Astyanax mexicanus: one gene and its partner. The protein of the gene in region 1 purifies or fractionates together with the protein of each later gene. This does not show direct contact. Links are inferred from orthologs where the notes say so. Each region holds a gene or a part of one and is shown on either strand. Other genes may lie near its edges.

What was found.
Region 2: the proteins of ddb2 (region 1) and cops3 purify together in Homo sapiens (affinity purification with mass spectrometry; 7 studies listed by BioGRID and IntAct, with this or other methods). This does not show direct contact. The link is inferred for Astyanax mexicanus from reciprocal best matches to the Homo sapiens genes DDB2 and COPS3.

The regions. Positions count from the first base shown.
Region 1 is NC_064416.1:24,642,001-24,649,343, reverse strand, and holds the start of ddb2 (DNA damage-binding protein 2), read right to left. Parts: upstream 3,009-7,343; 5' UTR 2,992-3,008; coding exon 2,847-2,991; intron 1,062-2,846; coding exon 943-1,061; intron 504-942; coding exon 312-503; intron 1-311.
Region 2 is NC_064422.1:7,820,944-7,828,719, reverse strand, and holds the start of cops3 (COP9 signalosome complex subunit 3), read right to left. Parts: upstream 3,023-7,776; 5' UTR 2,896-3,022; coding exon 2,841-2,895; intron 1,063-2,840; coding exon 933-1,062; intron 1-932. UniProt on the Homo sapiens protein: Component of the COP9 signalosome complex (CSN), a complex involved in various cellular and developmental processes.

The sequences.
Region 1 (7,343 bases):
TTCTTTATCTACACTGAAGTATGTGGATGCGTCCCAATTCCCTACAAACAGATAATACAAAGTAGTTTTTGAGAATAAAGTATATAGTATTGATAAAAGTATTCTCAAATATTCCATGCTCAGAACCGTTTTTAAAGGTGTGGTAAAGATTGAGACTGTCCTACAATGGCAGCAGGAGAACAACACTTTATCACTTTTTGTTTGTACAGAATGGTTTGGTATTATGTGTAGTATGTGATTGGGACACAGACAAACAAAAATTTTTAATTATTCTACCCAGCCAACTTTGATTGGCAGTAAATCTAACATACCCCTTGTATGAAGGATTTCTTGTTCAAAATTTCATAGTCCCACAACATGATGTCTCCACCCTTAGAGCCCACTGCCACAGTGCTGGGATGACTGGGATGCCACTCCAGACATGTGACCCTCCGTTCAAAAGGGCTGGCTGTTCGGTGCAGTCTGAATGATTCCAGGGAGCGAATAAAAGGCTCTTGGAGACACTTAAAAACAGTGAAGAAAATAATGCATGGAAAAATTCATTAGCAGCAGACAGACAGACTGTTTATCAACACACTAACCATCTAAATGAGGGAGTCCAAGAGACTATACTGGGCTTTGTCAGATATAAGGTCACATTAAAAGACAGGGAGAACACCCTGCATTTGTTTGAAGGATGACTACTTTTGAGAGACACTCCACTGTCCATGTTTTCTACAGTAATTGGATATGACTGAATTAAGCAGGAACTGAGTAAAACAAATATACATAATCTTGTATTTCTGCATATCATTCTTAAAAATAATGATATGAAAATATAACAATGAGGAAAATCATCAAAATCACATGAAAAATACAACAGCACTATAAAAATTGACACAGCCATCACTTTCTGAGAATAGACAGAACACTGTAATTAGTTTTAGGCATGTGGTTGGTTACCTGTCGTAGTTGAGAGTGGATGCTCTGTCCTAAGGAGCTCTTGTAGATGTAATGAGGTATGCTTATCTGGCTGCATTTCTTCAGTCCTCCAGTCCACTTTACACTTGCCTGAATGTACACTATATGGGCAAAAGTATTTGGACTGTTTATATTCATTGTTGAAATTTAAGGCATTAAAATAAGAGTTTATCCTGCATCTGTTAGAGTCAGAGTAACTCTACTGTCTTAGGAAGACTTTTAGTTAGTGCAACACTGCTGCGAGAATCTGATTGCATCTAGCTATAATAAAATTAGTGGGGTCAGAATGTTTGATGATCAACACCTCATTCCCAAAGTACTGAATAAGGCAGCATAATTCCAGAGAACACAGTTTCACTGCTCAATTCCCCTCTACAACACACCTGGCATTAGGCATTGTGCCACTAGATTCATGTTAATCTGCTGACATGCTGTTGACAGGTGACATAACGGTGAGGTTCTAAATGTGTTTATCGCCATGCTGAAGGTACTCTGTGTTCATGCTGTAGTACTGCAGTCAGCAGTTTCATCTGTGTTTTGGATTACTGGGGCTAGCTTGTTGTAGTCAGTTTGTATTTATCAGTGTGGCTAACAGACGTTAATCCAAAGTAGATTCTGTGACATTCTTGTTCAGCTTGTCTGGAGAAGCCATTTCCTCACTTTACTTCTGTTTCTCCAGTTGTACTGCTTTAAATTCTCTAAAGGTTATAAAAGCATGTTAGTTTCTTGTACTTTCACTGTACTGCTCACAATAACTATACCGTAAACATGGCGCTTTGGTGTCATATAATACTAAGTAAACACACGTGACTGTCAATAAACTGATTGGCAATACCTTCTCCAATAGGGACTAGACATATTTGCACATCTGTATCAGCCATGACTCATGGGTGCAGCTTAAAGGGGCACTGAACTTCCTGATTTTTCCTGACTCCACCATCAGCTTAAATTTAAAGCTCCACTAGGTAGGATTGAGATTTTGTGCTCGTGGGCTCCCCCTACAGTTGCAGAGTGTAATAAATGTTTCAGGCGGATTAGTTTCTCTTTCTCGTTTTCTGGCTTTCACAGACATATTCGGTCTATTTCCAGCTTCTGCCAGCGTGTCTGTATGTTAGTTTGTAAAGAATGAACCAGTAGTCCTTGTAGAACTGTTAGAACTAAAGGTCGGAAAGCAGGTCGCAGTTCTCGCGAGCGTTGGTTGCAGCCGCCTTGGAAAACTTACAGAGTCTGGTTTGAGCTCAGAGGAGCCCGGCACAGACACGAGAGCACCGCTATTCCTCCTATTACACCTCAATTGAGCGCTGCAGTGAGTTTCAAGCTGTAATTTTACTTCTTTAAAAAGATCAAAAATCAAGGAAATCCTACCTAGTGGGGCTTTAAAAAAGGCTAAAAAGGGGGCACTGGGTGATGTATGGGTTTAGGGGTGGGGCAGGAGGGAGAGCTGATTGGCTGAGTTGCAGCTGCAGCAGTGTGAAGCAGATGGTTGGATGTCACCAGGGGGGCGGTATTATTGACTGACTGATCTGCATATTGTGAGTGTCTATGTAGGAAAGTACACGGAAACCTCATCCTCGCCTGTAGCCCAGTTGAACTTGAGAGGACACTGCAGAGGCAGAAATTACCACAGTAAAAGCGTTTTTTTAGAGGTTAGGAAATGCTTATAATAAGTAATAATTTTAAGTAGTGGTTAGTGATTAAGGGTTTAGTGCCTCTTTTACATAGCTAAATACATTTATTAGAAGGAAGGGGTGTCCACAAACATTTGGACATATTGTGTAAGTTAGTAAACTGGCTACTCCTGGCAGTTTTACATGCCTCGTCGTTTATAATAAAATCACTTTTCAGAATAAAACGTAAAGGAAATACCAGTGAACACGTTTCCACACCTGTGTTTGATCCAGCCCGTCCATCTTTCTTTGCTTTCAGCTTTTTGGAAAGCGTTTCAGAAACCTCAGCATTCTGTCGTTTTCTCGCGCCCTCCTCTTTCCTCTTCCCTCTCGCCATTGTACAGCAGTTTTCTGTCTGAAACATGTCGATACACAGTGACTATGATTACAGCTCATACACTAACACACAACTAGCCTGCAACTTCAGAAACACTGATGAGCTAGCAAGCTAACAAGGTGTAACGTTAGGTTACAGCGGCATTAGCAAGTAGCTAATGTTAAGATACTTTACCTACCTTTCACCGTGCGTCCACACCGAAAGCGACGCGAGCGACAAAGCAGCCGGAAGTCATTCATTTTCAATGAGAGCGAGCGACACTGGGCGACAGGCAGCGACGCGGCGCGACGCGATGCGAAGCGGGCGGTTTGAGCGACGCGAGAGAGTTGACCAGAACTTAACTTTATGCAAATGAGCAGCGACGCGCGGCGGCGACTACCAATCAGAAACAGATTCTCATATGTCCGGCCTGAAATCGCTGCTCTGATTTTCAGTTCCTACTGAAGATTTATTCCGCCAGCAAAACGGAAAGAACAGAACTGAACTGAGCTGATCTGAGGTAAAATACTCCACTTCACCAGCGGCTACCCCACTATAGTACTATCCTTACAGAATTACCTTATTTAATAGAAAACTATATATTAAACTGAGGAAATTATTTATAAATTAACAGAACGATTTATGACAACTAAGGGAATATTTTTTAAATTAACAGAACCTTTTATTGAAACAAAGGGAATTATTTATTAAAGTTAACATAATGATTTATTACAACTGAAGAAAGTAATTAATACATTTAACGTAACAATTTGTTCAAACTGAGGTATGGAATTTGAAACGATTTAGGTAAAATTGAGGGAATTATTCATTACATTTTACAGAAAGATTTATTCAAACTGAGGGAATTATTTATTAAATTAAGAGAAAGACTGTTTATTAAATCAAGAGGATGATTTAATATATTTAAGTAAACATATTAATTACAAGAATTTATTTTAGACATTAAGTTAACAATATTTGAAATTATGGACAAATTAAGAGAATGATTTACTACATTAAGGAAAATAATGTATTATATTTAAGTAAACCCATTTATTGTAATATGAAATAATTATGTTAAATAATTGTACTTAAAAATAGTTATAAAAGTTTTTAATGTTTAGGAACTGTGTAGAGAGGCTGAACCCTTGTTTCTGTATGTGCCGTATTTGGAAAACGCCCACCAGCGACAGCTCGTTCTGAGTGAGACACGCCCACAAGCGACTCATCGCCTGTTGGACAGGCGACACAGAGCGATTTTATCGCGTTCGGTGTGAACGTACAGTCAGACGTGTTTTCAGCAGTACAGAAAGCCCCACGCGCTGTTTATATCGATACACTCCGTTTATTTCTTCCACTGACCTTAAAGAGTATAAACAGCGCGAAGAGGGTCACACGTGTGTGGGCGTGACGTAACCCGCGGATTGTTTTGTAACGCTTGAGTGTGTGTGTGTTACAGATTATAAACACTAGATGGCGGTAGACTGGAAATCTGACACTGTATGCCAGTTCTCACATTTTTTTTGAGACCACTTAAAAAGAACGATTTTCTTTGATTTTACCAAATTGAAAACCTCTGGAATATAACCAAGAGGAAGATGGATGATCACAAGCCATCAAACCAAGCTGAACCGCTTGAATTTTTACACCAGCAGTGTGTAAGACTGTTGGAGAAGAACATGCCAAGATGCATTAAAAACCAGGGTTATTCCACCAAATATTGATTTCTGAACTTTTAAACCTTTATGAGTATGAACTTGTTTTCTTTGCATTATTTGAGGTCTTTCCAGCCATTTCTCATTTTCTGCAAATAAACGCTCTAAATGACAACATTTATTTAGAATTTGGTAGAAATGTTGTCCGTAGTTTATAGAATAAAACAACAATGTTCATTTTCATTTTTAAACATATACCTACAAATAGCAAACTCAGAGAAAATGTTTCAGAAACTGAAGTGGTAAAACACAAAATTAGGCCACAAACAAAGTTCAAACTACCATCATTACAAAAATACTAACAAAAAACAAACCTAAGAAAAACAAAGAAAAGGGATTGATATAAAAGCTTAAAAATATATTTGAAACTGCAAAGATCACCGCTTCACTTCATTTCCCAGGATCCCAAAGCACTACCACCAGAGCTGGTGGAATCTTCACATTTCCTACATTAAATACACTATACAAACACATTTACTGGCACACATGCTCATTTATTGTTTCTACCTAAGTAACTTTATCCCACTTTTGTTGAAGTCTTTACAGGGAAGGCTTTCTACTCAATTTTACACTAAAAAGAACAGAGGTACAATATAAGTACTTTTGGTACTTAAAGGTACACTCTTAATAATTGTACCCTCAAAGGTATAATATTGGTCTTTACAGGGTCAGGTGTGTTCCCTCTGAAGTACAAAGTCATTCCTAACAGCAATACGTACAGATTTGTACCATTTAACCATTTAGCCAATATATTTTAATTGCACATTTTTATTTGAAAGCTAGACAATTTTAGATCTTCAAGTTCTTGACTTCTGGATCTTCAAGTTCTTAATTGATTTATAATCTTTATAATCTTTACTGGTACAAAAACACATGGGTTCAAAAAAGGAAATTTACTGAAAGGTACTTGTACCTAAATATAAGGTACAGCCCCAGCGACAAGCTTTGTTCTCTTTTAAGTAGAAATATGTACTTATTTTTCTTAGTGTGTAGAGCATTTGCTGTAAGGATGAAGCTATATAAAACTATTTAACTACATCATAGACTGTACAGTCTATGATCTACATGCATCAATATGTGTCAAATTCCATTTGTTAGAAAAAAATAAGTGTATTATTTTCCCAGAATAATATCTGTTTCTCTACATACTGTTTTTTGACCAGATTTTCAGTTTCGGTACCAAAAAGCGTGTTAAACATTTAACAATAGAACCCATTCATATGAAATTCATATGCTTCACTTATCACTGTTCTACATGCATAACCATTATTGTCTTTACTAAACAGCCCTTGAAGAGGCCCTTTGTGTAGTCAGTCATACAGGAAACAAGCAACAAGCAAGCACTTTTTTCCCCACCTATATTTAGAAAAGTCCTAATTGCAGTGTTTCTCAAACCTGGTTCTCGAGGTCCACTGTGTTTCGCACATGACAGTGCTTTTCCAGCTGTAACACACCCACTGAGTGTGTAATGGGCTATTAATATTTCACTCACACACTCACACCTAAGGGGCAATTTCAATCAAGTTCCAATTAGCCTGAACGTGCCGTCTTTGGACTGTGGGAGGAAACCGGAGGAACCCGGAGGAAACCCACGCAGACACAGGGAGAACGTGCAAACTCCACACAGAAAGACCCGGGTTGCCCCAGCCGGGAATCGTCTTGCTGTGAGGCGGAAGTGCTACCCACTGCGCCACTGTGCCGCCCGTAGTGGTTCTAATGTAAACTTTTTTTTCTATGTCTGTATATCTATGTCTGGTAAAAGTTAAAAACAATTAAATAATAATAATAATGTAATAGTGATTTTAGCATATATATATATATATATATATATATATATATATATATATATATATATATATATATATATATATATATATATATATATATATATAATTTCTCCCTGAAATTATTTTTTGCAACTTGGGATGTCTGTACTGAGTGTACAAATTGTGTAAAACAAACCTCAAGTTTTACTGATAGTGGGAAAATAATGCAGTTAGTATCATTCTTCAAAACGGATTTTAAAAAATCAAAAATTGTATGTGAGAGAGGGACACATGTATCAGTTATGAATTATTAGCCAATCGCAGCCCCGGAGGGCGTGGCCTGCCTGGAAACGGGTGGGTAAATCTGGCTGGAGCAGTGAGGGGCTCCACAGCGGTGTTGGATACGGCGGTGCAAACATGAGCACGTCGACCAATCAGATTTCGCCCTGGGACGCGCAGCTGACAACGAAAACAAAGAAAGGCATGTTTTTCCCTCTAAAGCTGCTCGCTTCCCATGCATCGCCTGGTCAAGGCACTGGAGGAGCCGTCACTATTTAACACTTACTCACTGGACACACTTCACTTTCACCAGCATCTAGACTGTAAGTACACCCCAGCATATCTTCTGAAGTCACCCATACGTTAAAAACACAACTTTTTTAAAGTTACATATGGGCTAAGTAGCAGCTTTAATTTGGTAGTTCAGCCAGAATGCAGCAGTAGCTTGGTGTGAAGGAACGCGTTGCAAATTCCAGTCAGTGAAGATGTAGTTCAGATATAGTGTTTTATATATATATATATATATATATATATATATATATATATATATATATATATATATATATATATAAATCGTCTCTTGGCAAACATCCTGGTTTACATTCCAGTAAAGTTATAGATTAATCCAATGTATTCTGCT
Region 2 (7,776 bases), on another chromosome or scaffold:
TAAATATTTTAAACGTTGTTTAATAACTTTAAACAAATGATGCTTGTGCTTACCATTATAATTATTAATATTGTTGTCCTTGTGGTATTATTATTATTATTAGAAGAAAAACTCAAATTTATTTGAATTTAATTATTAGGTAAGCCAATCTGGGATCCCATTCTTATGTATATATAAATATTACAAAGTCTATTATAATGTGTAACTTTCTGTTACATACTTTACATTTTATTCATATGCAAATCCAACACATATCAGACACAATATTAAAACAAGCATAAGTCATAACATTATAATCACCTTCTTGTTTCTATTTTCCTGGTTTAATATTGTGGCTGAAGCTTGCCTAACCATTACCCTAACAACATTAATCCTATCATCTGATCAAAGGAAATAACTATGTTTTTTTAAGTAAATAAAAATGGTGTCAAAGAGCCTACTAAAAAGTGGGATTTATTATGGATCATTACAAATTCTTTACTTTAAAATGACCAAGCAGTCATGCAATAAAACAAAGAAATCCTGTATAGAAGAAGAAAATGCATTAGGATGCATTAATAATTGTTTTATAACCGCATCGCAGATTCCCACCCCTAGTTTACAGGTTTCCCAATCATGCAAATTTTACCTTCTCCTAACACACCTGAATCAGCTAATTAGCTCATTAACACGCCCTTTGAGAAATTGCAATGGGTGTGGGCAATTCTCTAAATGTGCTGGGAACACTGTTGTAATTGCATTACAGATTCAAACAAATTCAATTTGGTTTTAAATACTAGTTTTACTTTAGTAAAGACTCGGTTTATAATAATAATTTATCTTTGACACCAGGGTCCATGTATGATTAATAGCATCTTAAAAAGAAGGGGATGCTTAGCTTCAGATTTAGCACTTAATAAATCAGTCTGCACTGATCCTGGAACAGCACTCACAGCACAGCCAGCACGCCCAGAGAGTGCTCCTGGATGTCCAACGCTCCCAGCACCGTGTCTAGGTGGGAGAGGTTCTTGGCCAGCAGCTCTCCACTCTTGTTGATCAGCTCACATAGCTGAGTCATCTGACCTAAGAGTGACAGACAGAAAGACGAGACAGATATATTTGATAACAGAATCAGTTACACAGAGCTCTAAACAAGACAGCTAAAGTGTGTGTGTGTGTGTGTGTGTGTGTGTGTGTATGTATGTGGGGTGGGTTGTTTGTGGCCAGTCCTTAAAGTGTCACTTTAAAGTAAAAATAAAAGAGTGTGGATTTTCTGCTTGTAAAAAAAAAAAAAAAACAAAAAAAAACATTTAACCGTAGTTTAGTTTCTAAAGCAGAATAAGAATGTGGTGGGAGTGTGTTTACATACAGAACACACACATCTGGAGTGTAAAGAGCTTTGTAAAATGCTCCTCACTGCTGCAGGCTTCATAAAATGCGTTAATTACAACTAGAGAACATAACACAGTGGTAAAAACAAAGGATCAGACATGAATCAGGAATAAAATGGTATAATGTATAATTATGGATGTAATGTTCACCATCGAGCAGATGCTTCACTAAAATTAACTACTAAACTGAAGTGTGAATATATTAAATCTTAAAATCAGTTAATAATAAGAACATAATTAAATACAGAAACAGGAACATGTAAATATAGAATAAGTCATAATATATGTATTGCTTTTCGAAGCAGTCTTATAAGCAGTTTTATAGGTTACTTAGTAACACTCATATTTACAGCTCAAAATATCTAGCTCAACGTTTACATTGTTGCAAATTATGGATGCAATGATTAGTCAACTAATCAATAATGTTCATTATTAAAAATTGGTCGTCTCCAAAGTCAGTGTATACTTATAAATTATTTGTAAATGCGATGCACTAAACAAAGTAAAATAAAATAGCATTTTAAATAGTATTTTAACGTAGCACGGCCAGTGTTACTTGGTCCTATTCCAGCACACAATACATACATCAGCATATGTTGTATAACCAATATACTGATATAATTATATATATATATATATATATATATATATATATAATGATATTCTGGTTTGTTTAACACTTTGATTGCAAAATAATTCTGCGTGTGTTCCTGTAATCAATATTCTTCTATATTAAATTTACAATGTCAAAAAATCATTAACAGAAAGAAAACACATTATACATGAACTATATATACATTATATTCTGTTAAGGATTTCGATATATCTTGACCATATCGTGATATGACATTTCAGTCATATCGTCCAGCCCTAATCTAATGGATAGGTTATCTAACTCAGTAAAGCAGCTTATTTGTCTCAAATTAAAACACTTAACTTGTCTAATAATATCTCAAACACTTGTCTAATGTAGCTAATCTATTATTTACCAAGTTTCTCTGAGAGTCTGTGAGCCAGTTAAAGCGCTAAGGTGCGCTAAAGTTAGCTGCACTCACTGTGTTTGGCTAGTCAGTCAGCTAGCACCTAATAGACATAACTAGCAGTAGCATTAGCTATCTAGCTAGCTGTGTTTATAAACACAAAAGCGAGGGGAATTCGGGTTAAATCAACATTTGTTTGCGTTTGGTGGTTTAAGAAGAGTTTAAAGGCGGTTCAAATTACATGTGTGTTTAGTTAAAGGTTAGTTAAAGAGTGTGGAAATAAGTGAAGTGAGACCAAGAAGCTGCTAGTTCGAATTCTCCATTCCACCTTAAATGTGGCGGCAGTTACAGTCCGGAATCGAGGCGCGAGAATGTAGATGCAGTCTACAGCCTCGCTATTTAAGGTGGAACGGATAGTTCGATTAAGCCTCGTCCGCCGCCGCTAGCAGACCTGGCTAAACTCGCTCCATCTCTCCGAACGGGTGCGTACCTTGTGCAGACAGCTGCCGCACATTATTCACGAACTGCTCCAGCGCGGAAGCCATGACTCTGCAGCGGGGTAACGAGCGCTCTCTCGCCGCTTTTCATTCAAGTATGAGAGGCTGCTGCTCAGGAACACAAGTCACGGTGAAGCGCCGCGGAGGCCGCCACCAACACAACACTGCTATCGCGAGATCTGCGCTCATAAGCCACAGATCCCGCGAGATTTGAGAGAAGGATCAAAAACAAACGATAAAAGTCTCCAGTGTTTAACAAAACTTTTATTTTTAATTTTTTCCGCTAAAAACGGCGATCAGAAACATTTAACTAACAATTTACTAACTTTAATATCCTGTACAGGAAACAAAGTTTTTTATTATAGACATTTTTTAATATATTTATTTTTTATGTATAGGGATATTTTTAGTACATCTTAAATAGCATAAAAATACAAATACATTAACACAAAAATATATAAATATGTAACTTAAAAAACATAAAACATATACTCATACAGTGGCTTCCAAAAGTATTCATACCCCTTGAACTTTTTCACATTTTGTCATCTTATAACCACAAACTTAAATGTCTTTTATTGAGATTTTCAGTGATAGACCAACACAATGCACATAAGTGTCTTGGTGGACAGTCTTCAGTCTCCAGCAGATTTTCTTCCATGTTTGCCCTGTATTTAGCTCCATTTATGTCCCCTAGTTTAGATGTTGTTTGGAAGTTAAATTGTGGTGCATTGTAGAGATGTTACTAAACTTTAAACAGTGGCACAAAATAAGCACTGTATAAAGTTTATTACATAATTATATCTGTGTTTTACAGCAGCTTGTAAAGAATTTATTACACCATTACAGTACCAGGTGTTTTCTTTCTTTTTATGATTTTTACTTTTTTATTTTAAAGACATCAAAGCTATACAGAAACACATACAGAAATGTTTTGTGTTCAAATTAAAATAATCAAAAGTAAAAATTTAGTAAAAAAAAATGTTTGAGGACAGATCTGCACACTTAATCTCAGTGTCCCCATAAGGGAGAGTCACCTCGAATAGTTTTCTTAGCATCTTGAAGGAGTTTCTGGAGTTTTCTTGTTTATAACTGTATTATATCAGTGTTATACAGAACATAGTAAAGTGTTAACTATGTTATAACAGTGGTGTAATGACTTGTTGGGTTAATAACATGTTGGGTGTTTGTATTCGACTGTTCTGTAGGACAGAAAGTATGTTTCAATTATTTGGAAAATGTATTCAAACTTTGTGTTCCTACACAGTTTTTACAGTATTGTATTAGTTGTACAATTTCTTTTCATGGCTGTACAGTAACTGTATACAGTAAATTATTATTTTGCTTTTGTATTTGTATGTAGACCACTGTACATGCAACTGTATGTTGGTTGGGATGTACACTGTGTACCTTGTTTTTATGGGAAAATAAAATAGATATTTTATAAAATATAGATTTTTACTGTGTACTGTGTGTTCTGAGTATAAAAACAATGTTTTAAAAAAATGTCATTATTGTGAATAGAGAAGTGTTTTTATTCATCATAATGTTTTACATTGAGCTTATCAGTGTTTAACTGATTCTTATAAATGTATATTCCTATTATGGTTTGTATGTGTCATCTGAACACAAAACACCATTATTAGAAGAGATAACATTGTGTTGAATGTAAAATTGTATTTTGCGAGAGAATTGAAAGGTTATGCCTGTTGTGTATGTGTTTGCTTGATTTGTGTGTAGAGTACTGAGAGAATGAGGTATGCTTTTGGAAAATGTGTGTAAACAAAGCAGACAAATTGTAAATAATAACTATTATTAATGTTAATTGTGCGTAGAAGAGCACAACCACTCAAAAAACATCAAATTAACGTTGATTCAATTTCCGAATTTTAGCTTGAGTTGATACTTAAAATTGTACAGTAGTATTAACCCTAGTATCTATACCTCTACCTACAGAGTAATGAATGTGATTGTTTTCACACCATTTGTGTGTGTAGAAGTGAGCCGGAGGGCGTCCAGACCGAGTGCACAGCTGGACAGGCGTTCACAGGTGTGAGGGTCTGCATGTGCATGTGCGTAAAGGTGTGTGCAAGTGTTTAGTATGTGCGTAAAAATGTGTGCAAGTGTGAGTATGTGCGTAAAGGTGTGTGCAGGTGTGAGTATGTGCGTAAAGGTGTGAAAGCGTGTGTGAATGCTTCATTTGTCCTGCTCATTTGCACGTGTTAGAAGAGTAGTGCTCGAGCTGCAGCAGTGGAGCACACATGCTTGCACATACGGGCTTTTAGAGGAAGATGGGGGGGTCGGGGTGAAGAGATGGGGTGGGGGACCAAATGTTGTAGCTAGTTCTTTAAAAACAAATAAAGGGCGCGCTCGTGCACACAGCACAACACTACAGCGGAGCTGCTACAGAGGGGCTGCCTGCAGGCGCCAGCTGACTAACTGACGGAGACGCAGAGCAGCGCGAGGACGACGGGTCAGCGGGGCGGCGGGGCAGCGGCAGCTCCGGGAGAAAGAACCGGGGTGAGTGCTTCTCTATTCAAAGCTATATAAAGCTAATACACTAAAGCTCAGTCTTTTCAGTCCAGAATCAGAGCCCAGATACTAACTAACCTACAGTCAGCCAGTCATGGCACGTTTGGGTGTATCTGAAACGCAGGAAATGCTGCCTTGATGCCTTAATGCTTTACACACTAAATAACCTAGTTAACCTAGCTAGCTAGCTAGTTAGCTAATCATAATACTGTGGTTATAACCGTCTCTTTTTTCTTTAATAAAAGGGGAAAATACGCCCCCTGACCTTGTCATGGTATAGACAGCAGTTAGCTAGCATTTCAGCTCAATAAACAGAAGGCTAACTAGCTAAAGCTAGCTTTATAAACTAAAGTTTAATAGACCTTTTTCACAGTCGCTGTGTCGTCACGTCCGGCTCTGAATATCAGCGTTAATATCGTGTTTCCGTCTGTACTGTTTTAAATGGTATCATCTCTCCTTGTGGTCAAACAAATGGTCATCAGAAATATACAATATACAGCTCTAAAAAAATAAGAAACCACATAAAATTGATGAGTTTCAAACTGAAAACCTCGAGATTATAATCAAGAGGAACATGGATGATCACAGGCCATCAAACTAAGTTGAACTGCTTAATTTTTGCACCAGGAGTGGTATAAAGTTATACAAAAGCAGTGTGCAAGACTGGTGGAGGAGAACATGCCAAGATGCATGGAAACTGTAATTAAAGACCAGGGTTATTCCACCAAATATTGATTTCTGAACTTTTAAAACTTTATGAATATGAACTTGTTTTCTTTTGCATTGTTTGTGGTCTGAAAGCTCTGCATCTTTTTTGTTATTTCAGCCATTTTTCTAAAAAAAAGCTGTCAATGACAATATTTTTTTTTGGAAATTGGGAGACATGTTTAAATAGTTTCTAGAATAAAACAACAATGTTCATTTTACTTAAAATTTATCCCTCTGGTCTCTTAATTTTTTCAGAGCTGTATATTGGACTTTGAGAGGAATTTACATGCCTGTATCAGCAAATCTGTTATCAGCAGCAGGTCAGAGTCTGTCATGGTAAGGGGGTTGTAGTAGTATATTTCTGTGATTGCAGCATTAATGACAAGGTTCCAAGGTTTTTTTTTTTTTTTTTTTTCAACAAGACAATGTAAAACCACATGATGCACTCATTACAAAGGCATGGCCGTGGAAGAAGAGGGTACGGGTACTAGACTGGCCTGCCTGCAGTCCTGACCTATCCTGTCCCCAAAAGGAGGAAATGTGTGGAAATTATTCTTAGTCCTCAAATGTATTTTAAGTGTTATGGAAAATAAATTACACCATTAAGAAGGGGTAAATGCTTTTCTGTCTTTTTTTGGAATTTATTGGAATGTGTTGGAGGCCTGAAATGCAGGAATTGATGTATACTAATTAATGAAACAGAAAGTTGAGCAAGTAAAACATTAAATATCTTCATACTGCCTGCATTCAAATAAAAGTCAGAGTAAATGTAAGAAACACCTATTTTCCTAATTTACAGTGGGCCTGCTGAGTACATTTAGCGGCTTGAATCTGGGGGGGATGGGTGGGTGGATACATGTATATGTGGTGGGGGGTGAGGGGTGTTAACTGTTCAGAGATATGTAATACAGGTCTGTAATTGTAATGTAAAATGAGGCAGTTGGGTCAGTTAAACTGACGGCACTGTGTGAGGATTCTGTACGGTTCTGCTGAATAATCCTCTGTAGTCTTTCTGAACTCACTGTCCCACAGTCTAAATATTCCAGGATAAACTGGTCCCTCCCAATTACCAGGAATTCTATAAATCACGTTTCTGTTGGTGCTAAAATATCCTGTAAAACAAGTAAAACCAGTTCACTATTGTGTGAAACAGAACTGAAGTGTTGTACTGTATTTCACAGACACAAATCAAGTTATTAATAGTCATAACATTTTATATAAGACACATACGGCACTGTTTTATATATCAGACACAATTTCTTTTCATTTGTTCACTGAATGTAACAGACTGGAAACAAAAAAAACAAACAAAAAAAAACGTATTCTCCATTACTCCGTTATTATAACTCCAGTATAGAAGCGGTAAAGAAAATGCAAATAAATAAAAATGCATTTTATAAAAATATTTACTTTTTATTTAATTTGCAGACAGTATACACCTTATATATACTTTATTTCATTTATATATATACATCTATTCCTACATTTTAGGTCTTCAACACATACTAAAAAAGTTGGGACAGAAAAGCATTTACCACTTTGTAATTTTGATCACAACACAACACAACAAGAGATTGGCTGGCTTTAAGGATACCAAGCACTAACGTGTTTCAGATGTTATTTTGTTTTATTCTTCCTGCAGACATGTCTTAAAGCGTGCAACAGACAGAGTTGTTTGTTGCAAAATTC